Nothobranchius furzeri: one gene and its partners. The main gene of each other region encodes a partner of the protein of the gene in region 2 in a complex. Links are inferred from orthologs where the notes say so. Each region holds a gene or a part of one and is shown on either strand. Other genes may lie near its edges.

Evidence for each region.
Region 1: the proteins of aurka (region 2) and tacc3 are in contact, whole or in part, in a crystal structure (PDB 5ODT), measured with the Homo sapiens proteins. The link is inferred for Nothobranchius furzeri from reciprocal best matches to the Homo sapiens genes AURKA and TACC3. Residues at the interface, in NP_001310232.1 of Homo sapiens: Leu130, Phe133, Glu134, Ile135, Gly136, Arg137, Tyr148, Leu149, Ala150, Arg151, Ile158, Val163, Arg205, Tyr207; in NP_001428248.1 of Homo sapiens: Glu523, Ser524, Phe525, Arg526, Pro528, Val531, Leu532, Gly533.
Region 3: the proteins of aurka (region 2) and tpx2 are in contact, whole or in part, in a crystal structure (PDB 3HA6), measured with the Homo sapiens proteins. The link is inferred for Nothobranchius furzeri from reciprocal best matches to the Homo sapiens genes AURKA and TPX2. Residues at the interface, in NP_001310232.1 of Homo sapiens: Lys125, Arg126, Gln127, Trp128, Asp132, Glu152, Gln154, Ser155, Phe157, Leu159, Lys166, Glu170, Gly173, Glu175, Leu178, Arg179, Val182, Glu183, Ile184, Ser186, His187, Leu188, Arg189, Tyr197, Gly198, Tyr199, His201, Val206, Tyr246, Ser249; in NP_036244.2 of Homo sapiens: Gln3, Lys5, Ser6, Ser7, Tyr8, Ser9, Tyr10, Asp11, Ala12, Pro13, Ser14, Asp15, Phe16, Ile17, Phe19, Ser20, Ile31, Asp32, Trp34, Phe35, Glu36, Lys38, Ala39.

Annotation. Positions count from the first base shown.
Region 1 is NC_091758.1:31,355,805-31,363,327, forward strand, and holds the start of tacc3 (transforming acidic coiled-coil-containing protein 3), read left to right. Parts: upstream 1-3,017; 5' UTR 3,018-3,156; intron 3,157-4,243; 5' UTR 4,244-4,244; coding exon 4,245-4,409; intron 4,410-4,489; coding exon 4,490-4,617; intron 4,618-4,695; coding exon 4,696-4,733; intron 4,734-4,808; coding exon 4,809-5,880; intron 5,881-5,964; coding exon 5,965-6,007; intron 6,008-6,576; coding exon 6,577-6,727; intron 6,728-6,804; coding exon 6,805-6,863; intron 6,864-6,953; coding exon 6,954-7,084; intron 7,085-7,201; coding exon 7,202-7,289; intron 7,290-7,364; coding exon 7,365-7,490; intron 7,491-7,523. Other genes in the region: kinesin-like protein KIF15, read right to left, coding at 204-234, 451-469. UniProt on the Homo sapiens protein: Plays a role in the microtubule-dependent coupling of the nucleus and the centrosome. Involved in the processes that regulate centrosome-mediated interkinetic nuclear migration (INM) of neural progenitors.
Region 2 is NC_091743.1:61,018,679-61,024,740, reverse strand, and holds the end of aurka (aurora kinase A), read right to left. Parts: intron 5,676-6,062; coding exon 5,366-5,675; intron 5,284-5,365; coding exon 5,247-5,283; intron 5,156-5,246; coding exon 4,964-5,155; intron 4,855-4,963; coding exon 4,716-4,854; intron 4,613-4,715; coding exon 4,464-4,612; intron 4,312-4,463; coding exon 4,137-4,311; intron 2,467-4,136; coding exon 2,284-2,466; 3' UTR 1,850-2,283; downstream 1-1,849. UniProt on the Homo sapiens protein: Mitotic serine/threonine kinase that contributes to the regulation of cell cycle progression.
Region 3 is NC_091755.1:45,545,805-45,553,493, forward strand, and holds the start of tpx2 (targeting protein for Xklp2), read right to left. Parts: upstream 4,984-7,689; 5' UTR 4,755-4,983; intron 1-4,754. Other genes in the region: rhoaa (rho-related GTP-binding protein RhoA-C), read left to right, coding at 5,167-5,199. UniProt on the Homo sapiens protein: Spindle assembly factor required for normal assembly of mitotic spindles. Required for normal assembly of microtubules during apoptosis. Required for chromatin and/or kinetochore dependent microtubule nucleation.

The DNA of each region.
Region 1 (7,523 bases), on a different chromosome or scaffold from region 2:
ACAGTTTATTAGTTGAATTCATTCCTGATAGTTGCTTATAAAGCTGGTGATTGAAAGTATAAATGCTTCAGAAAAAAATAAAAACATTTGCATGGGAGCATTGCATTAGCTGTTACTAGAAGACACAATTATCATCTACAGTTTAGTTTTATTGCTACTTTTTGCATATTTAGCAGGGACAAAGAGGCCTAAAGGTACCTTACCTTGCAGCAAGGAGGGTTGAATCTCCAAAGCCTGGTAACAAAATGTTCAAACGTTCGTTAAATGACTTTTTGTAACTGACACTAATGAAAAGACAACACATGAATTGATCGCGCATCCTATGGTGCTAAAACTTTAACCCAAGGCAAATATTCAGTAGCTAGCTAAAAAAATAAGTAAGGAAACAACGAATGTCGGTATCAAGTTTAACTGACAGCATATTTGTTGATTAACCGAACATTTCACTACCTTTTCCAGTAGTTTGCATCGTTGTCTACGAAGAATTAATCGTTAAAAATCTATTTATACGTTGTTCACGTCACAGAATCAGAGACGGACGGACAACATTGTTTATGTTGTTCTTTAAAATTGGCGGGCTAGTCGTCTTCCCCAGAAAACTACCCGGTGTTACGCTGAAATGTGTCCGCTGTAAAATAAAAAAATGGAACTGTGTTCCCACCTTATTTCCAATTATTCATTCCCACCAACAACATTAAAATTTTGATGTTGGAGAGGAAAAAAAATATTTACATACGCACTTCATGCAGTAATGATAAATTTCCAAGTTTTTATTATTATTATTATTATTATTATTATTATTATTATTATTATTATTATTATTATTATTATTATTATTATTATTATTATTATTATTAATCATCATCATGCCTGTACAAAATTCAAAATCATGTTTATACACAATAGTACAATGATGTCTTAGTGATCAAAACGACACACAACCATATAGGAAACGAGAAAAAGGGGGATCTGCTTACCTAGAAGTGATAAACCTAAAGGATTTTATTAGTTTAATCGTTTTTGTTAACTTCTTATTGCCCATTTTTAATTTTCTATGGAGGCCAGATAGAGTTTAAGATCAGTTTCTTTAAAATTATCTGGAGAAATTTCCAAGTAACCAAATGTGTAATAGTATGTTTTCACTGCCCAGTTGGACATTTTTCTTTGCTACAAAACAATCGATATGTTTTCCTTTGGCAATTTTTTAAAATGCAATCACTTAAAAGAAGATTGTGCAAAAAATAATAATAAATTCAGCTCACTGGAAGCTGAATTTTAGCATCTGGCCCATGCTGGAACTGGTCTAGGTAAAAAAAATAACTACAACATCCACACTCTTCAAACCTGTACTGGATTATTCTACACTAATAGTGTAAAGGATTTTATCAATATGTTTATCAATAACCCGTTTCCTGTAGTCGAAGAGAAAAAGGAGACAATGAACAGACAAGTCAAACAGTTGTAACTGTGGCACAATGCACAAGGCAAAATGGCCCGAACATCTGGTCACAGTTTATTTATACCAAGAGATAAGAAAGGAATGTAAGTGAGAGAGAGAGAGAGAGAGAGAGAGAGAGGTGTGTGTGTGTGTGTGTGTGTGTGTGTGTGTGTGTGTGTGTGTGTGTGTGTGTGTGTGTGGCTTGTGTGGGTGTGTCTGAATAAGTGGGCATGCAAAGAGGCAGAGAGCAATACATATTACATTCAGTTGATTGAATCAATGGTCAAGAATTAATAAACATACAAATTTCCACAACACATAGTTTGTGATTTGTGAAACCTTTTTCTGAATTGTGATACGTCCAACCAACTTTTTTTGTGATGCAGCACAGTTACAGAACATCCACAACTTAACTCAGATTTGTTTTAAGTTTGCATGTGGGTAAGGTGTCTTCACAATAAAATTGTCTTAATTAAAAACAAGAACAAATATCCACCCTCAAACTTGTGTTGAATCATGTTCCAGATAACTTCAGAGAATTGAACATCTCCCCAGTTCTGAGTTTCATGAGAAGCAACAAATAAATTCAGTTGTCACAAACCTTAACATTCCAAAAGACATACAAAACAACTTTTTGTTGCAGTTATCTTTCAGTCACTCAAATTTTCTTACCTCTCTCCTCCATCTCACCATGCTCTATGTTTTCCAATGCCTCGCTTGGGTCAATGCATTGACCTTTTCTTGTGCTTTAATTGATGCCTGTGTTACATAAAACTGTTAATTAGAAAAAACTTCTCCCAGATTTAATGTGCTTTTAAATACCATGTATTCACATAATTCAAGTGTAATTTCCAATGAAATTTTTTTATTTCAGACTCTAGTTTTTGAGCTAGTCCAGTTCCAGTGTGGACCAGATGCTAAAAAGTTTTCACAAATCACAAACTATATTTTATGCAGTCTGCTGGTAGTGTATAATAATAATAATAATAATAATAATAATCCAGTACAGGTTTGAAGAGTGTGGGTGTTGTAGTTTTTGAGCAGATGGTCAGAGTAGAGAAAAACTAGGTGTAATTGCCCTTTAGCCATGTCACGAATAGCATCTAACTTCAGCCTTGTCACAAGGAGCAGATGCTGGAATAAAGTTGAACAAGGCAACAATTACTCATCATTTATGGAATAAAAAAAGTCAGGCTGCTTTTTAAAGCTAGTTATTTTCTTCATTTCAACTTTGTTCATAATTTGATAGGTTATAATGGACATGTTTCTATTTCGCTTGTAAGCAAAAACAAAAATGAAAATTATTTATTTTCTACTGTGAAGATAAATAAAAAAAATACTTGCAGGTGTGTTTGTTTGTTAAATTAATATTTTTGTACAAAAGTGTCATGGAATATAGTAAGACGAACATTTTGATGACTTCATTAAAAGAAGAGAAATACTTTTTTAAAAGCCATATTATTTGACTAAAATGTTATAAATGTAAATGCCTAAACGCTCTCTTTTGGCTGAGATGACAGTTGCGTCATATCCGCTGTAACTTCTCATTGGCTGTTTAACGCGGAAGCGCCGTTTGTTTAAATTCGACTGTTAAATTCCAAACGGCTGTCTCACAGACGCTGGCGAGGGCTTTTCAAAAGAATTTCTGCTTTGCTCGGTTCAGTGGAAAACTTTAGCGAGAAACGGTGCAATTTCAGACAAGAATAAGTGAGTTGCAGGTAAGTAGTCCCACAGACACACGGGTAGTGCGAATGTTCTCTTTTTGGATCTTTTCCGTGTTTAAAAGTGAAGTTGAGCTTTTGTTTTCCGTCTCTGACCGTTAGCTTACCGATTGCTAACTATGCTAAACACTGGGCTCTTTCCCCTAAATTTAGCAAATAAATAATATTTATATGGCACATTTCAAGATTAGAATTACGACGTGCTTTACAATTAAACAAACAAAATAACAATGTAGGCTATAAAAACGAAGTTTATTAAATAATGGTCACGATTGGGTGCCGATTTTTGATTTAGCGCTGTAGGTAACCGTTCATAAAATAGTCTACTGGTTAACTTTTACACCAAGTAAGAACTTTATGATTAAATTGTTCTCTCTGTATAGAAATGATTTTTCTTCTACTTCTTCTGTTGAGCCACAACGCAGTTTGTCATCTCATATTCGTTGTGTGTGTGTGTGTGTGAGAGAGAGAGAATCATACTGGTGGTTTATATGGTATAATTGGGGAAAAGTCTGGAGGAAAACAAATTTTGAGTTTATTCCTAACTTTCCTCATGGATTGAAAATTTGACAAAATTTGCCCAGGATATGAAAAGTAGATTAAACACCTTTTTGAATTTCCATAAACCTATGTGTTTTCTACAGAGACTGTAGGAGAGTTTTTTTTCTGATTAACATTTTTGACTACAGATTAATGTGATCATCAGTGCCATCTTGTGGTCTTGTTGTGCCACTGCTTTGTTTTCAGCTGCAGTTGATTAGTTTTCAACTAAAAGTTGCCCTGATTGGGGCAAAATCTAAATATTAGACAACTTTCTGACAAAATATTTAGTTATATTAACCAAAAAAATGAAAATATGTACCACAGATTTACTGACCTCAGTCCACAAGTCAGTGGAGTGCAGTCACATGTGCCTCGATTCCTGAACAAATTATGTATTTTTTTTTCCCTAAGGTCACATGAATTGCTGAACTGAGTAGAAGTCTTATCAACCGAGGACAGCTTTCAGCATGGCCCCTTCCCACCAGAGTGTAACTAATCTGTCCCTGCCCTGTAATTTTAGTTAGTTTCTCCTCTTTTACAGAATGAGTTCTGTCGACATAAATGATGAGAATTGTGGGGTCATCCCAGCAGGAAAGCACAACGATTCTAGTCTAGATGTATTTGCCCTGGAACAGCCAACCGGGAGGCAATCTATCCTGCGTCAGACGGAGAACCTTCCCAACAGGACTGTGCCAAAAGGGGCAAAGGTGCAAAACCTTTTAGTTCTGACAGATTCAGTCATTTATGTAACTTGATCTGTATTTACTAATTACAATGTTATGTTTAGGTTTGTTTTCAGACACCAAGAAGAGACCCGTTGACTAAAAGAATCCTGTCTCCCAGGAAATCTGTCAACATGTTAAGTGTGGATGAGAATAATAAAGCAACAGTGTCCTTGGATTTGGATAAGCCAGAGTAAATAAGTCATATACTTCCTACATGTTTTTAAGTTTCAATTGCTTGTGCTTTGAAATAACACCAGTTTTTTTTCAGTACTTTAACACAGGAGCAGATTGAGCCACCCCGTCAAGGTAACTCATCCCATATTATTTTTTTACAGCTTGATGTAAACAATCCAACTCAAACTCTTTTAACCCTTTTCACAGAGATGTCATCCTATCCCGACGACAACATGCCGATACAAAGCAAAGGCGGCTACCAGTTGGATTTTGACAATCTTGATGCCATCAATCCATTTCAGAGTTCTAACAAGATGGCCGTGACCCCTGGGAGGCCCGCTGTTGAGACTCTTACAGATGACCCCAAGCCTCAGCAGCACATGTCACCAGAGAATATTCAAAATAAGCCAACTGACATGACACCCGCTCTAGACGACACGCTTCCATTCACGCCATCTGTGGAAAATTCTTATGCAGATGTTTCCACCAACATGAGCTCCACAGACAGCAGTGTGGTCACGGTGACCGTGAAGGTCCCAGTAGAGGAAGGTCCATGCACAGACACGCCTGATGAAAAACAGCCTGCTAGTTTGTCCGATCAAGAGAAGACATCTGGCAGTTTTGTGGAAGATTCTCCACTTCCAGTAAAAGGAGCTTACAACATGGATTTTGACAACCTTGATGAAATTAATCCATTCCAGACTGGAGGCTCTAAAATTCCAAATTCACCTGATTTAGAGAGAAAAGTACCAAACAGTAATCCACCTACAGAAGAAAAGATATCTATGGGCGTGTTTGAAGTTCCTATGGTAGCCCAAGAGTCACCTGCCCAGGATGTGAAGTCCATTTCTACGGTGAACCCAACACCCGCTGATGCAGCCAAGCCTCCAGCAGCTGAGTCCGAGCCTGCGGACCCTCCAGTCAATGAGCACTCCGTCAAACTTGAGTTCTCTTTCGGAGACTGCAGCGAAGTCAAACGAAAGCCACCACCCAAAAGGTTCGGCAAAAGACCTTCTGTTGTAAAACCTAAAGACGAAAAGTCGACTTCTGATGTTAAAGCATCAGCAGAAGCTCCCATGAAGCCTGTGAGTGATGTCACTGATGATCCAGTTCCTAAAGGTTCCTACTCTCTGGACTTGGATGACCCGTACTTCAATCCTTTTGGCGCTAAAGCAAGAATCACGAATTCTCCAAAGGGCAGTGGCCAACCCGCAGTTGTGCTCAAGGAAGCAGACCTTCCCGAGCAAACTGACAAAAAGGAAGATGGGTCTTCCCAGAGGTGAGTAAAACTGAGTTTCTGTCTTTATTTTTCTTCACATTCCAGCATCAAAGTTTTGATCGTAAATGTTTTTGCTCCTTGCAGCTCTGGTGAGAGCTTACCAACAGCTGAGCCCAACCATGAAGATGTAAGCTATTATTCACAGGGTATCTGCGGGTCCTTAAAGTCTTAAATTTGCTTTTCAAAATTTAAGGCCTTAAAAATCCTTAAAAATGACAAATAATCCTTTAATACAGTTTCCAAAGGTCTTAAATTACCAAAGGCCCAATAAACAAGATTCTTTTATTTCGATAAAAATTTCGTGAATTTCTAGTTAGTGTTCAGCATTGTTGTGTATAATGTTCGCGAAGCGGAACCATACACATTCAGTTGGTTGTGAAAGGGAGCTAGTTTTAGATGGGCACATTAGCTGGTTAAGCTAGTGGGAGCTTGCGCCATGGGGACGTTTAATGGTAACTGGATGGCTAATCCCACGTTCGCGATGTGGTTGGCATCGGTTCCAGGCAATAGCTGGAAATTATAGCTTAAATTTAATTCTAAAAATAGCTTAAATTTGGTCAAAGTGGCCTTAAAAAAAGGTCTTAAAAAGTCTTAAATTTGGCTCCCTTAAACCTGCAGACACCCTGTATTCAGTTTAAGTTCCTATTTAGCTCGTGTTTTTCTCACACACAAAAATATCACCCTCCTAACCGTCAGATCGCTGATCACAAGGCTACCTCCGCTCATGACCAGGAAATTCCACTTGAGAGTGACGACCCCGTGCAGAACGCTCCTGAGCCGCCTCAGCCCGATCAGCAGCTACAGATGGACACCGAGTTCAGTGAGGAGTTTGTTCCTGGAACTATGTGTGAGTAAACCTGGAATTCACATCACTTTATTAGTTTGATCTGTGCTTGATTAGTTCGGTCTGATTTACATTACCAGTCGTGGCCGGTGGCTTTGACGGGCAGATCGACTACCTTGAGCAGTTTGGGTCCAGCAGTGTAAGTGCTAACGACGCGTACGGTAACCGGATATTTTGATAGTTAGTTCATGACCTAAAGGTATTTAAATGTTTTCTTTTCAATCTACAGTTTAAGGAGTCTGCCCTTCGAAAGCAATCTTTGTACCTAAAATTTGATCCCCTCCTGAGGGAGAGCCCCAAAAAGTCTGCAGGCCCGTCCGCTCAGACGCACGTCGCTGTTCCCGCGGCCTTGGCCTCACAGTAATAACACACTTCTGTTTTCATTCACTCTGACTGCTGCTGTCCCTGAATGCTTCAGCAGATCCTTTTTGTTTGAAATATTAAAAAAAACATCACTTAAGGTTTTGTTTTCTTCAGGCTTCAGATTCCTCAGGTTACAGAGAAAGAAACAACTAAAGCTCCAATAAAGGACAGCCTCAAGCTGTTTGAGGACGCAACAGCTCCAGTGAGTCTCTATTCCCGATCAGGATTCGCTGTAACTCCTGGCGGGTTGTTTGACCATGACCATCTGTGTTTCTAGGCTCCGATCTTTGGAAGCATCATCCCTCCTTTCCCTCAGCCTGGGAACTCCGAAGACGTTATTATTGAAATGCTAAAATACAGTCAGAAGGACATGGATGCCGCTATCGCCAAAGTGCAGGCAGAGGTGCGTTCTTCACAGTTTGATCTTCTTGTCCAC
Region 2 (6,062 bases):
TGAAAATAAATAGTGTTTCAACTATGTCCATCAAGTACTTAGAGATTTAATAGCTTTTAAAAATTGTTATTAAAGGCACACAATGTACATTTTTCATATTTTAAAATCATTTTCTTTGAGCAAATATGTGCTAAAATAACCCTTTACACTGGGTTAAAGAAAAATCACTCAGACTCCACCACACTTGCAACTTCAGAGTATCCCGGTCCTTGTAAATCAATAGTAAAGTGGAGCTGACATGCTAGCGCTGCAGTCTGCTTCCAGCACATGATTCCTACATAGTTTAGATCATGAACACAGCTGATTGGTTTTAGTGATGAAACGCTCTGACACTAACGAAGGCTAAGGAGACATTTCAGTAGTTAGGTGAAGGTGTTAAAAACACGATTGCGCAAAGAAGAGTTTCACTTTTGGGTTTATGACAGTGAATTATTAATAGTCTCTAGGGGTGCTCAAAGTAAGCCAAAACTACCAATTGTGTCTTTAAACTTATTTTCTTTCTCCTCTTCTCCATGTTTGATTACATCAATTTGGTAATGAAGTATTTTCACACAAAACCTAAAATAACTTCTGCCGCCTATCATCATCAGTGCTTTCCTGGCATCAAAACATTTTTTTAAAATACACAGACATATTAAGAGAAATCTGTTGCACACAAGAAAATACCATCCCCTCATAGATCCCCATTCATTATTTGGGCAGTTGTGGACCCATGGTCCAGAAGTAGATGGGTGTGACATGTACGTTAACACATGCTTTTTTATTAAATAAAGGACATAAGAACCTTTATCTGCTCGTGACTCACAGAAAAGTCCAAGTCAGCCCAGTTCATTACACACATCCTTCCTTATGAATGCAGTCAGACACTTTCCTCCTAGGTATTCAGCGTTATAATGAACTGGTTTAAGCTGTAAACCCACTGGGCTGATTAATCGGAGGCTTCCCCTATTGGGAAGTATGAATTTGAGCTGGGCTATCAGTAAGCAGTGTGTGTTCTGGCCCTGGTCGGCCTGAAGCAGGCCACCTCGGGAAAAGGGCTGAAATAGTCCAGTTGCACCCCAAAAAAGGCAGGCTATACTAATGTGGACACTCTCTGTGCTATCCAGAGCATGCAGAGCTGATGCTAGTGGGAAAGGCCCATAATGGGAGTGTAACTAAACAGACGGTCTAGATTTCTAGGCTAAGGCTAATGATTTTCTGGTGTATATTTTATATTTTTTTACTGGTTTTAAAGAGACAATGTGTAGTTTTTACCATAAATTTCTGGAAACACCCATCAAAATGTTGTTGAAAATGAATTAAATGATGCCCAGTTGGTGAAAAATATTGGCAGCTTTGTAACATAACCATAAAAATCAGGTCATGGGAGTGGGTCTAAGTCTCTGGGCGACACCATATTAGATGCCATGTTTCCTTCTACGGGAGCCCATGAGGACAAAATGCATTTACTGATTTGTAACAAACGGTTACGACATGTTCTCCATCCATAAATGTTTTTCAAATCTACCTCTTCGCTTGTTGCCAGTGATGAATGGGAGTCTGATGTGCTTGTTATTTTGTCAAAGTTTGCATTCTCTAGGGCTTTTTGACCCTAATGGGCATCCGTTGGTAATGTCTTACTCCAACACAAAAATACTGCTTTCATGCAATGATTTAGGAATCTACTGCCCCCATCACCAGGAAAAATGCACACCATTACTTTAAGTGAAGCAGTCACTCAATGAATTTTATATTAAAACATTTTCTTCAGAAATCCAACTAATGTGATCTGAACCATCACTTGTGATAAAAATTTACTTAGAGCTACAATAAATGATGTGAGATGTTGAAGACAAGACAATACAGATAATTTAGTTAAACCTTTTAAAGAAAACTTTATTTTTTACTGAAACCAACATGCTCAAAGTTAGAGCTCTCTAGCGCCCTCTGCTGTCTCACATCTGTGCAGAAATAAAAAAATAACCTACTTCTCTCAGGTTTTCTGAACTTCAAGCAACACATTTAAAAAAAGTCTTGTTTGCTTATTTCAAGTAACCTTTCATAAAAAGCACAAAGATTTTCATAATTATTACATTTTAAATATTTACAAACAGGATGTCGTTGAGAAGAGAAATAATTCAGGATACGGTAAAAGCAGACAAAACAATGTGGCTCAAGATTCTGTAAAATAACAGGAAGTGGAAAAGTCGAGTAATCAAAGCAGATTCTGACAAATCAGCTTACAACTGATGCTCAGAGGTCAAAGCCGATGGTGCTTTGTCGTACACTCCATCAGGAAAACCCTCACTGACTGGTCTCCTCGGCATTCAGAGTCACGGGCTTCTTGGTGGAATATTCTAGCACCCAAGGGTGGGACAGGACTCCCTGGATGGGCAATCTGTGCATGGGATTGTGCTTCAGCAGCCTCGCTACCAAGTCTTTGGCTCCAGCACTGATACTGGTCTGTGGAGGATATGTGTACTCCACCTAAAGGAGGGAATGAAATCATGACAGGTAGAATCGTAAATAACAGAAGCTGTGAATTAGCAGTTTTAATAAGGACAGAATTGTACATATTTACTCATAGTTTTAATACATTTGCAGCAATTTCTAGCTGGAATTAATGCGTTGTAAGTTGTTGACTGCAGAAAAAAAGCTCCAGAGCGCCTGTTTCAGCACGGAGAATTCCAGTTAGAGAAAGTAGCTTCAGATGGCAGGAATGAGTTTTATTTCCTGATATTTGAACACCATACCTCTGATTGGATAACAGCAATGCGACTTCACCACTGACTTCCTTTGCAACACCGATGTTTTACCTCCAAAAATAACAAGTCTGAAGGAGTTCTGCCATACTGCGGAATTGCTATTGCTAACAGTTAGCTTCTGCTAGTCGAGACGTTCTCTGCTGTTTCCTGGACACTAAATAAACAGCTTTTGCCGCCACGAGTCAAGATGAGTGAGTCCATGAATGTCAAGATTTTCTGAGCAGAGGTTTTTCTGTCTATTTTCTATCAGAAGCTAATGCAGGAGATAGGTGAAGACAACTATTTTCATGTTTAGGCTACACGTGAAACTTGGACACTGATCATTTTCTAAAATAAGTAAAAAACTGTTTCTCAGTGAGCCTGGCCTTTAAGTCTGCAGATCTGTACACAACAGAAATAAAACTATTTTAGGAAAACATCCAACTGATTTCCTTACAGAAAGTACAATTTCAATTTGATTCACAATTAACTCGACCCAGCTTTAGCACAATGTACAGTAACAATAACATGCCAGATTATGACATCATGACCAAGAGTGTACGGTCGGTAAAGACGGCTCTCCCTTGCCCTGCCTCCATCTAAAAGGCTAGGTTATCCAGAGTTATCTCTGTAGTTATGCTGCTATAGGCTTAGACTGCTGGAGGATACACTGACCACTTTCCACACTCTACTACTTTCATCTACAACTTTAACTGTATTATTTCCTGCTATTTCAGTTGTTAACTTTATTTTTTCTCTTTTTCTCCCCAGAATAAGCAACAATGATGTTCTGCTGAGCTGTGGTGGCCTCATGGAGGGGGCCATCATCTAGCACACTACTGCTAACCATTTAAACATTCTCCCTCTCCTGATAATAACTTTTTGCTTTCCTTGACGTTGGATGTGCTACAACTAGTTTACCCATTTAATTATAGATTCACTAGGATAAATACAATAAAGTTTATCTCTCATCAAATAGAATATTTACTAAGAAATCACGATGTAACCATAGAAACATTACTTGGTGTGCGTGCGTGTGTGTGTGTGTCTGCTCTGTCTTCTCGATCCCCAGTGAGTCGTGGTGGATGGCTGCTTATACTGAGTCAGGATCCTCTGGAGGTTTCTTCCTGTTAAAAGGGAGTTTTCCTCTCCACTGTCGCTAAATGCTTGCCTAGTATTAGGATTGCTGTAAAGTCTGATGCAATTTGCTGGGTTCCTTATATAAGAAACATTTTTTCATATTGACTTAATGAACTGACCTGGATTGGAATGTTTATTATGTGAAGTGCCTTGAGATGACTCTTGTCGTGATTTGGCGCTATATAAATAAACTTGAATTGAACGAGTATTTATACATGTTTTGATTTTTCTTTAAATTAGACACACCAAAACAAAAACAGCTGAGTCTCATACCCTTGAAATCTTGCGGTAGGTTTCCTCATGAGTTTTTGCTTCAAAAGGAGGATGTCCAACTAGGAACTCATAGCAGAGGACCCCCAGGCTCCAAAGGTCCACCTTTTCATCATGGGTTTTGCCTTCAATCATTTCTGGGGGCAAGTAGTCAAGTGTTCCACACAGAGTGGACCTTCTGCAGGGGTAAAAACATTTCTAAAATAGGACTTTATTATGCAAGGACAGAAAAGATCGTCACACAAAGAAAAACCAGACAACGATCCTCAACATCAGCAGACCAGAGCCCATAAAACACAGTAAGAAGTTGCATTAAACACATCTGCGTACCTGGATGAAGGGGTGTGAACAGACCAGCCAAAGTCAGCGATCTTCAGCTCCCCGTTGCCTCCCAGGAGCAAATTCTCTGGTTTGATGTCTCTGTGGATCACATTCTTGATGTGGCAATAGTGGAGAGCATCTGCCAGCTCCATAATGTACTAATAACACAAAAGAAAAAACAGTAAGTGGAATTAAGAGTACACCTTCAATAAACCTGTGGAATGTTGACTGTGTTTGAAGTTTGAAGTGTTTTTAACTTACTGTTGCACTCCTGTCTTCTGGGAAACTTCCACACTTCTGCAGCTCGCCGTACAGCTCTCCCTTAGGTGCAAACTCAAGGATGAGATACACACGGGTCGCATCATGGAAGTAGCCATAGAGACGAAGGATGTTCGGATGCCTGTATGAAACCCATGCAGGAGAGAATTCTGTGAAACTGTCTTAAAGGAACTCAAGACAGAGGATAAAGTTTAGATTGGTGTTTTATTGTAATTTTCACATCACATCACCTGAGATGAGACTGAATCTCCACCTCTCTCCTCAGCTGGTGTTCCACCCCAGCCTTCTCAAGCTGGTTCTTGAAGAGCACCTTCAGGGCCAAGATGAATTTAGTCTGACGCTCCCTCGCCAAGTAGACGTTCCCAAACTTGCCCTTCCCCAAGGGACGGCCGATATCGAAGTTTTCCAGGCACCACCGCGTTCTGCATTTACACAGCAGTACAGAGTTAGAAATCCTATTCTGATCTGTTGAATTATTGCACAAATAGAATGTAGAATGTGCACTTGACGTACTTTGATGGGGCCACCTGATTAGTCTTGGCAGGTTTGTCTTAAAAAAAAAAAAAAAAAGGATATTTTAGTGTCTACAACAAACACTTGCTTATTCTTGTTTATTTTAGAAATGTGCATACTCTGTGGCTTTGCCTGCTTTGCAGGATCAGAGGGAGGCTTGGCACTGGGTACATGGGTCGTCGGCTGGTTTTGCTGGGAAACAGGCTTTGGTTGTGGTGGATTTGAACATGGTGTAGCAGGGTTTGCATTCTGGTCAGCAGGCTGTTTTGACTTAACAACAGAGACCTGAGACACTGGTTTCTGATGACTGACTGGCCGCTGAACGCGCTGGGGACCATTGGACACACCGAGGACTCGTGGCTGAGTTGGTGTGACAACGGCCTTTGAGTTATGCGATACAGGAACACGCCTCGGCCCGTCACCACTGGACTGCAATCACAAGAGGTCATTAACTATTAGAATCAGATTTACAGCAATTTTACACAAAGTGATGAATGAAAAAATAAGTAGTAGGTCTAGAAATATGTAGTTTTAAAAGATATTTCATACTTCTCTACCAACATTCTGGTTTGGATGTAGATCCAATGACAACTTTTAAGTGTTTCATTAAATTCCCTCCAGTGGTCCATGAAACGTTTTTGCAAGTTAAGTAAGCGAAGATGTTCAGCGTTATAGTGGTGCAAGATTGGGAATTTGGGATTACTCAGACTGTCGCACCAAAATTGAAGACCATGTATGTAAAAAAATGTCTGAGCTAGTCATTTCTGTGATTGCTAATCTTGATTAGCTGTGGCAGCCATCTTGAATCAAGAGTTA
Region 3 (7,689 bases), on a different chromosome or scaffold from region 2:
TTTCGTAGAGCTCATTCTACTGAAACAGCTCTTAGGGTCTCTGACCCACAGGGATGCAGGGGACTGTTCTGTTCTGGTCCTGCTGGACCTGACTGCAGCCTTTGACACTGTTGACCATCACCTGATGCTGGAGAGGCTGAGAGACTGGGTAGGCCTATCAGGAACTGCCCTGGAGTGGTTCTCCTCTTATCTTGCTGAGTGTTCCTTCCCTGTGGCCGTCTCCAAGTTTTGGTCCTCCACCACATCCCTCACCCATGGTGTCCCACAAGGTTCTGTGCTGGGACCTCTACCATTTTTTAAAAGTCCTTGGTATGACTAGACCAGGATCTGAACCCTGATCTCCCAGTCTCAGGGTGGACACTACTATAAGGCCACTGAGATCATAAACTTATTATCATTTCATTATCTTGATGCAAGCAACCGCTGTGTTCCCCAAGTCATGTTAAGGTGAAAATGGCTGTATGTGTGTGTGTGTGTGTGTGTGTGTGTATATATATATATATATATATATATATATATATATATATATATATATATATGTACGTATATAACATGGAACAGTAGAAAAATATAGTGAATAAATCAGAAAATAAAAGCAATTCAAATTACAGATTACAAATTACAAAAAAGATGAAACATTCTAGTACAGGACAGATGTGTAAAACAAGGGATTGAGTGAACCAATGAAAACTATGAAATTAATTCAACATAAAAGAGGGCCAAAATCAAACATGTCCTGGAAACGCCAAGCGGAGGAGGTGTGTTTTTAGGTGACTCTTAAAGACTGTCAGAGATGGGGACAGCCTAACTGAGGGTGGCAACTGGTTCCAGAGTGACGGTGCTAGGACTGAGAAAGCCCGGTCCCCGCGAGTACGACACCTAGAACGAGGGACAGCGAGCAGGCCTTGGTCAGAGGAGCGCAGAGCGCGTGATGGGGAGTGTCTGTTCAGGAGAGTTGCCAGATAGGGGGGAGCACAACCCTGGAAGAAATTAAAGACAAAGACGAGGAGTTTTAAGTGTGAATGATAGCAAACCGGAAGCCAGTGCAGGGAGGCCAGAACCGGACTGATGTGGTCCCGTTTCCTGGTCCCAGTCAGGAACCTTGCTGCGCTGTTCTGCACAACCTGTAGGTGACGCAGTGATGACTGACACAACCCTGCATATAGAGAGCTGCAGTAGTCAAGCCTAGAAATTACAAAAGCATGGAGTACCCGCTCCAGGTGGGCTCTTGACAGCATAGGCTTGATTTTTGCAAGGCGTCTCAGGTGAAAGAAACTGGACCGGATCACAGAATTGATGTGAGCATCAAATTTAAGTCCAGCATCAATTTTCACCCCCAAACTGGTCACAACTGGTTTTGAGTAGGGAGAAAGAGTGCAAAGATCAACATGCCGATCCACATTCCTGGTGTTGGGGTGAAAAACAATGAGCTCTGTCTTTCCCTCATTCAGATGCAGAACGTTGGCAATTAGCCAAGACTTCACCTCATTAATGCAGGACACAAAGGACTGGATAGAGTGACCTTTCTCCTGACACAATGGAGAGTAAATCTGGCAATCGTCAGCATACAGATGGAATGATAGGCCAAGTTTACGAAAGATTGACCCCAGAGGTAGCAGATAAATGGCAAACAAAAGAGGACCAAGGATCGATCCCTGCGGGACCCCCAGCGGAGCCCCTCCCAAGAAGAAAAAACATCACCCAGTTTAACACAGAATGTCCGGTTTTGGAGATACGATCTAAACCAATCCAGAGCTGACCCTTTGATCCCAACCCATCGTTCCAAGCAATCCAGTAGAATCGCGTGGTCAACTGTGTCAAAGGCTGCCGTCAGGTCTATCCAATCCAATCCAGTTTATTTATAAAGCACTTTACAAGACCCAGCACAGGAACAAAGTGCTGTACAGAAAGTACATTAAAACAATTGACTAGAAAGAAAACAGCAAAGATAAATAAAACACATGATACATAAAATTAAACTAGCCCTATATTAAAAATAAAAACTTGATAAAACTTGATAAAACCGCATTTGAATCACCTAAAACAGCTAAAATAAAATAAAAAATAGAAACCAACATCTCACAAGGTATTAAAAGCCAGGGTAAAGAGGTGTGTTTTCAGGAGTGCCTTAAAAGCAGATAAGGAACTGGCCTGTCTTATCTCTAAAGGAAGTTCGTTCCACAGTTTTGGGGCTGCAACAGCAAAAGCACGATCTCCTCTAAATTTACGCTCAGTCCTGGGTACAATCAGGAGCAGCTGATCAGCAGACCTGAGAGAGCGGGAGGGAGTGTAAGGCTGTATCAGATCAGAGAGATAAGAGGGGGCAAGGCCATGAAGACCTTTAAAAGCAAATAAAAGAATTTTAAAATGAATCCTAAAAGAAATGGGCAGCCAGTGAAGTGAAGCTAAAACAGGGGAAATGTGCTCAAACTTTCGAGTGCCAGTTAAAAGACGAGCTGCGGCATTTTGCACTCTCTGTAGCTGACTAATACATGATGCACTGACCCCAATGTAGAGTGCGTTACAGTAATCCAGCCGAGTGGTTACAAAGGCGTGGATCACTGTCTCAAAGTGCTGCCGTGAAAGAATTGGCTTTATTTTTGCCAGCTGCCTGAGGTGAAAGAAGCCAGATTTTACCACCGCCTTAATCTGATGTTCAAACTTCAGATCACAGTCCACTTTGACCCCCAAGTTGGTGACAGTTGGTTTAACAAACTGGGCCAAGGAATCTACAAACACATTGGGTGTCTCAGTAGGACTACCAAAAATCATCACCTCAGTCTTTTTATCATTGAATTTTAAAAAATTCACAGACATCCAAGCCTTTATGTCGTCAAGACACTGTAGTAATGGCTGTATGAGGTTTCTGCCTTTTTTCTTTAGAGGGACATAGATCTGACAGTCGTCAGCATACAAGTGGAAAGCAATGCCATGCTTTCTCAATATAGAACCGAGAGGAAGAAGATACAAAGAGAAGAGGAGGGGGCCTAGAACTGAGCCCTGCGGGACACCACACAAGAGCGGAGCGGAGGACGACACATAGTCACCGAGACTGACACAAAAAGTTCGCCCCGCCAAATAGGACCTGAACCACTCCAGAGCTGTGCCGCTAATGCCCACCCAGTGCTCTAAACGAGAGAATAAAACAGCATGATCCACAGTATCAAAAGCAGCTGTCAAATCTAAAAGCACAAGAACAACACAGTCCCCAGCATCAGTAGCTAAGTATATGTCATTAAAAACTTTTAAAAGGGCTGATTCAGTGCTGTGAAAGGGTTTAAAACCAGATTGGAAAACCTCTAATACATTTTGCTTTTCCAGGAAGGCCAATATTTGGCTATGAACTACCTTTTCAAGAATTTTAGAAAGAAACGGTAGTTTGGAGATAGGCCTGTAATTCGCAAGATCCTGCGGATCAAGAGCAGGTTTTTTAATCAGGGGTTTGACTACTGCATGTTTAAAATCTTTAGGGACAACGCCTGACCTCAGACTATGGTTTACCAGCTCAAGAACCAGAGGACCAACTGTAGGTATCACCTCTTTTAAAAGTCGAGGAGGAACAGCATCATTTGGAGACCCTGCAGGCTTAAGATGACCAACAGTCTCCTGTAGAGATGACAGAGTCACAGGCTCAAACCTGTCAAAGACAGCAGAGCAGGAAACAACGACTGAGGGGTCATGAGCACAAGGACAGATTTGAGCCCTTGTGGAGGAGACCTTCTCAATAAAGAAGAGTAACAAATTTTCACATGCTTCTAATGAGGGCTCAATAGAGTCAGCATATGGTGCACTAAGAACAGAGTTAATAGTTTTGAATAACACTCGCGGGTTGTGGCAGTTAGACAAAATAATGTCCGAAAAGTGTTTTCTTTTGGCCTCTTTCACAGTTCTTTGATATTGACGCCAACAGTCCTTCAGCATCTGAAATGACACCTGTAGTTTGTCCTTTTTCCATTTGCGTTCAGCTCGACGGCAGTCGCGTCTGACAGCTCGGGTCATTTCGTTCAGCCAGGGCTCACATTTGGTTTTAGGCCGCCTGGTTTTTAATGGAGCCACAGTGTCCAAAGCAGTCCGACAGGTGGAATAAAACCAAGAGCTCAGATCATCAGTCTGGCTGCATAAAAAATCCGGGATCTGACAAATCTGGTTAAAGACTGTTGAAAAGTGCTCAGCAGTGGAGGAGTTAAAAACACGTCTGCACTGAGCAACAGCGCGAGGTTTAACTGAGGCACATACAAGAGGAACTTCAAACAACACAGGACTGTGGTCAGAAAACACAGCATCACAAATCTCTATGTTAAAACTAGGGAAGCCATGAGATAAAACAAGATCAAGTGTGTGTCCACGTTCATGTGTGGGACCTGCCACACATTGCACCAGATTAAACGAATCAATAAGGTTTAAAAAGCCCCTCGCCATGGGCATATCAGGGCAACACACGTGAATATTAAAATCCCCAACAATAAGAATACGATCATATTTTGGCATGAATTCAGCCAAAAAATCAGCAAAATCATCCAAAAAGTCCTTATTGTATTTAGGAGGCCGATAAACCACCGCACACAACACTGTGTGAGAGCAGCCCAGCTCAAACACAGACAGTTCAAAGCTGGTAAGCGACGGGGTTGGTAGCTGTTTACATCTAAAATGACTTTTAAAAATAGTGGCTATTCCTCCTCCTCGGCCCAACAAACGCGGGGCATTAAAATAGCAGCAATCGCCAGGTAGAAGATCTGAGAAGATGCTGCACTCACCGGCGCTCAGCCACGTCTCGCAGACACAGAGAAAATCCAGTCCTCGGGATGTAAAAAAATCCTTCAAAATAAATGTTTTATTCGCTAGCGACCTAGCATTTACCAGGCCAAACCTGGCAGTAAGCGGCGGGTCCCCGTCGCTAGCCGCCATAGAAGCCCGACACAGAGGCCGCAGGTTTTGCGGATTCACACCACGCCGGCGGGGACGAGGAGAGCAGGGTTTTCGAGGCTGGGACGTCCCATCCAGGCCGAAGACAGGTACCAGCCAGGCACAGACAGGATCCAACGATCGCCGAGAGAAGCAGATGTTTGGCACCGCTCCTTGTTTTCTAAATAAGGGCTTGTGAGAATAGCCTAAAGAAGCTTTCATCTTCACCAGGAAGCCGGCCCGGCGACCCCGGCGACGGCACTTATGCCGGGGTGGTGGATCTGGAACACGGCACAGGTGAGCCGGGATCTCCGATATTAGCGGGGGCAGAGTTTTATGTCCAGCTTGGTTCCATTTTGCCCAGCTTTTGACAGAAGGTCGGAGATCCAGTAGGGTTAGGCGATCATATACCAAGAGAGAGTTGGCATTTCCTACAATAGTCAATAAAATAAAAACAACCAAATAAAACACTGGTAGTGACAGACGGCAAGCCATGCACACCGGCGCCATCTTACCACGCTCCCATTTCACACTCGAGGAGGAACAGCATCATTTGGAGACCCTGCAGGCTTAAGATGACCAACAGTCTGTCTAACAACAGAAGCACCACAGATGTTCCCTGATGTAGTGATAGATAGATGTCATTTAGGACCCTCAGTAGAGCCGACTCTGTGCTATGGCCAGACCTGAACCCTGATTGGAAAACCTCAAACAGATCAGAGTCAGCTAAATGTGAGACCAGCTGCTGATAAACGACTTTCTCAATCAGTTTTGATGTAAAAGGCAGGGTAGAGATAGGCCTGTAATTTTCTATCACAGAGACATCAGCACCAGTTATTCACATAATAACTATAGTAGCAGTAATATTGCACATGTCGGTGATAATATTAGTTGTGGAATGTTACAGATGTATTGGTTCCGCATTAGTATTGACCATTATAGAGTCTAACAGGGGCAGCAGTAGCTCAGGTGGTAGAGCGGGTTGCCTCATGATCGGAGGGTCATGGGTTTGATTCCAGCTCCCGCCAGAGGTATTCCGCTGTTGTGTCCTTGGGCAAGACACTTCACCCAACTTGCCTGTGTTAGTGGTGGTCAGAGGGGCCGACGGCGCCAAATGGCAGCCTCGCCTCTGTCAGACCTCCCCAGGGCGGCTGTGGCTACAAGTAGCTTACCATCACTAGCAGTGTGTGAATGTGAGAGTGTGTGGAAAGCGTCTTTGGGGGTCTAGAAAAGCGCTATATAAGTTCAATGCATTTTTTTTTAACAGTGGCAGGTAGGAAAGACCTACTATGTCTCCTTCACACAGCGAGGATGGATCAGCTTGAAGCTGCTCTTCAGAGCAGATGGGGCATCCTGCAGGGGGTATGACTCACATGGTCCAGCTTTGATCTGATATAATTATGAGATACAAAGTCATAATTGGGATATTTTTTTATCTGAGTGCCAGGAATGGGCTTCCACTGCTTAGAAAAGAAAAGGGAAAGAAAGAAAAAGAAGATATTTAGCCAGTCATATTAATAAACTAGATGCTGTTTGAATGCTGGATGGCTGAAACTGTTAGCTGAAGCTGCTGAACAGCTGAACTGAAGCTGAAGCAAAACTGTCAAAATGAGCTGAATGTATTGACAGATGTAGAAGCAAAAAGCAGCAACAACCAAATAAAGCACAAAAAGTAAGTGAATAATAGAGAAAAATAATCCTAAACAGCAGAAAACTGAAATCTGTGAAAATTGTTTAAAAACTGGGCAGCTAAAATGTCTAAACACCTGTTATTTCAGTTGGACTAGTTTAACAGTTTAATATTTACATTTAGCTGAACTGTGAAATTAGCAGTTCAATCAATCAATCAATCAATCAAAGCTTTATTTATAAAGCGCCTTCCGCAACCCTGTCAGGAAGCCCAAGGCGCTATGCTAAATTCAGAAACTGATTGCTGAAGCTGCTGAATAGCTGAAGTGAAGCTGAAACTAAGCTAAACTGTCAAAATGAGCTGAATGTATTTAAGGATTTAGAAGCAAAAAATCACCAGCAAGTGTAGAATAAAGGTGAAGCATGGACAAAAAATGCCAAACAGCAGAAAACTTTAATCTTTGAACATTGAATAAAAAACTCAAAATTTGAAATGTTAAACAGCTGGCATTTGAATGAGAATAATTTAACAGGTACATTTTTACAATTGGCTGAGCTGTGAATTTAAAAACATTTGCTTGTATCTGAAACTGATAGATAAACATGTGCAGACTTGATATGGGATGGATGAATGGTTGGATGAATGAAATGACAGATGGATTGTTGGATCGATGTTAGATGGTTTATTGGATGGATAGAAGCATGGATGGATTTATATGTGGATGGATGAATTCCTTAGGCCAAGCCGATCGATTTGATGTCTCACATGTGTGGGTGTGAAAGTCCATTTAGCCAGAAGATGATTGACCTCTCTCAGCCAATCAGGCAGCGGTAACACTTACAGATAAAACAAAACCCATTCTGAAAAGCTGACAGAAATTCCTACTTTTTGAGATATAATTTGTTTCGGTACTCCAAACGGTCTGGGCGTTGGAAAGAGTTGTTTCCAGAAAACGTGAAGGTCAAAAGTTACGGTGTGGAATTTTCAGTTTAGAGTGGGGAGACATTTTTTATTTATTTAAATATTCTCAAACAAATGAACCGTACGACCACAATGTTTGGAGTACATTCATGATTTATAGCTCAAAACGAAGGTATATCCGTTAGCTGCAAGCCAGCGTGCGTCTCATTTCAATCGGACTTACTGTTTTCTCAGGA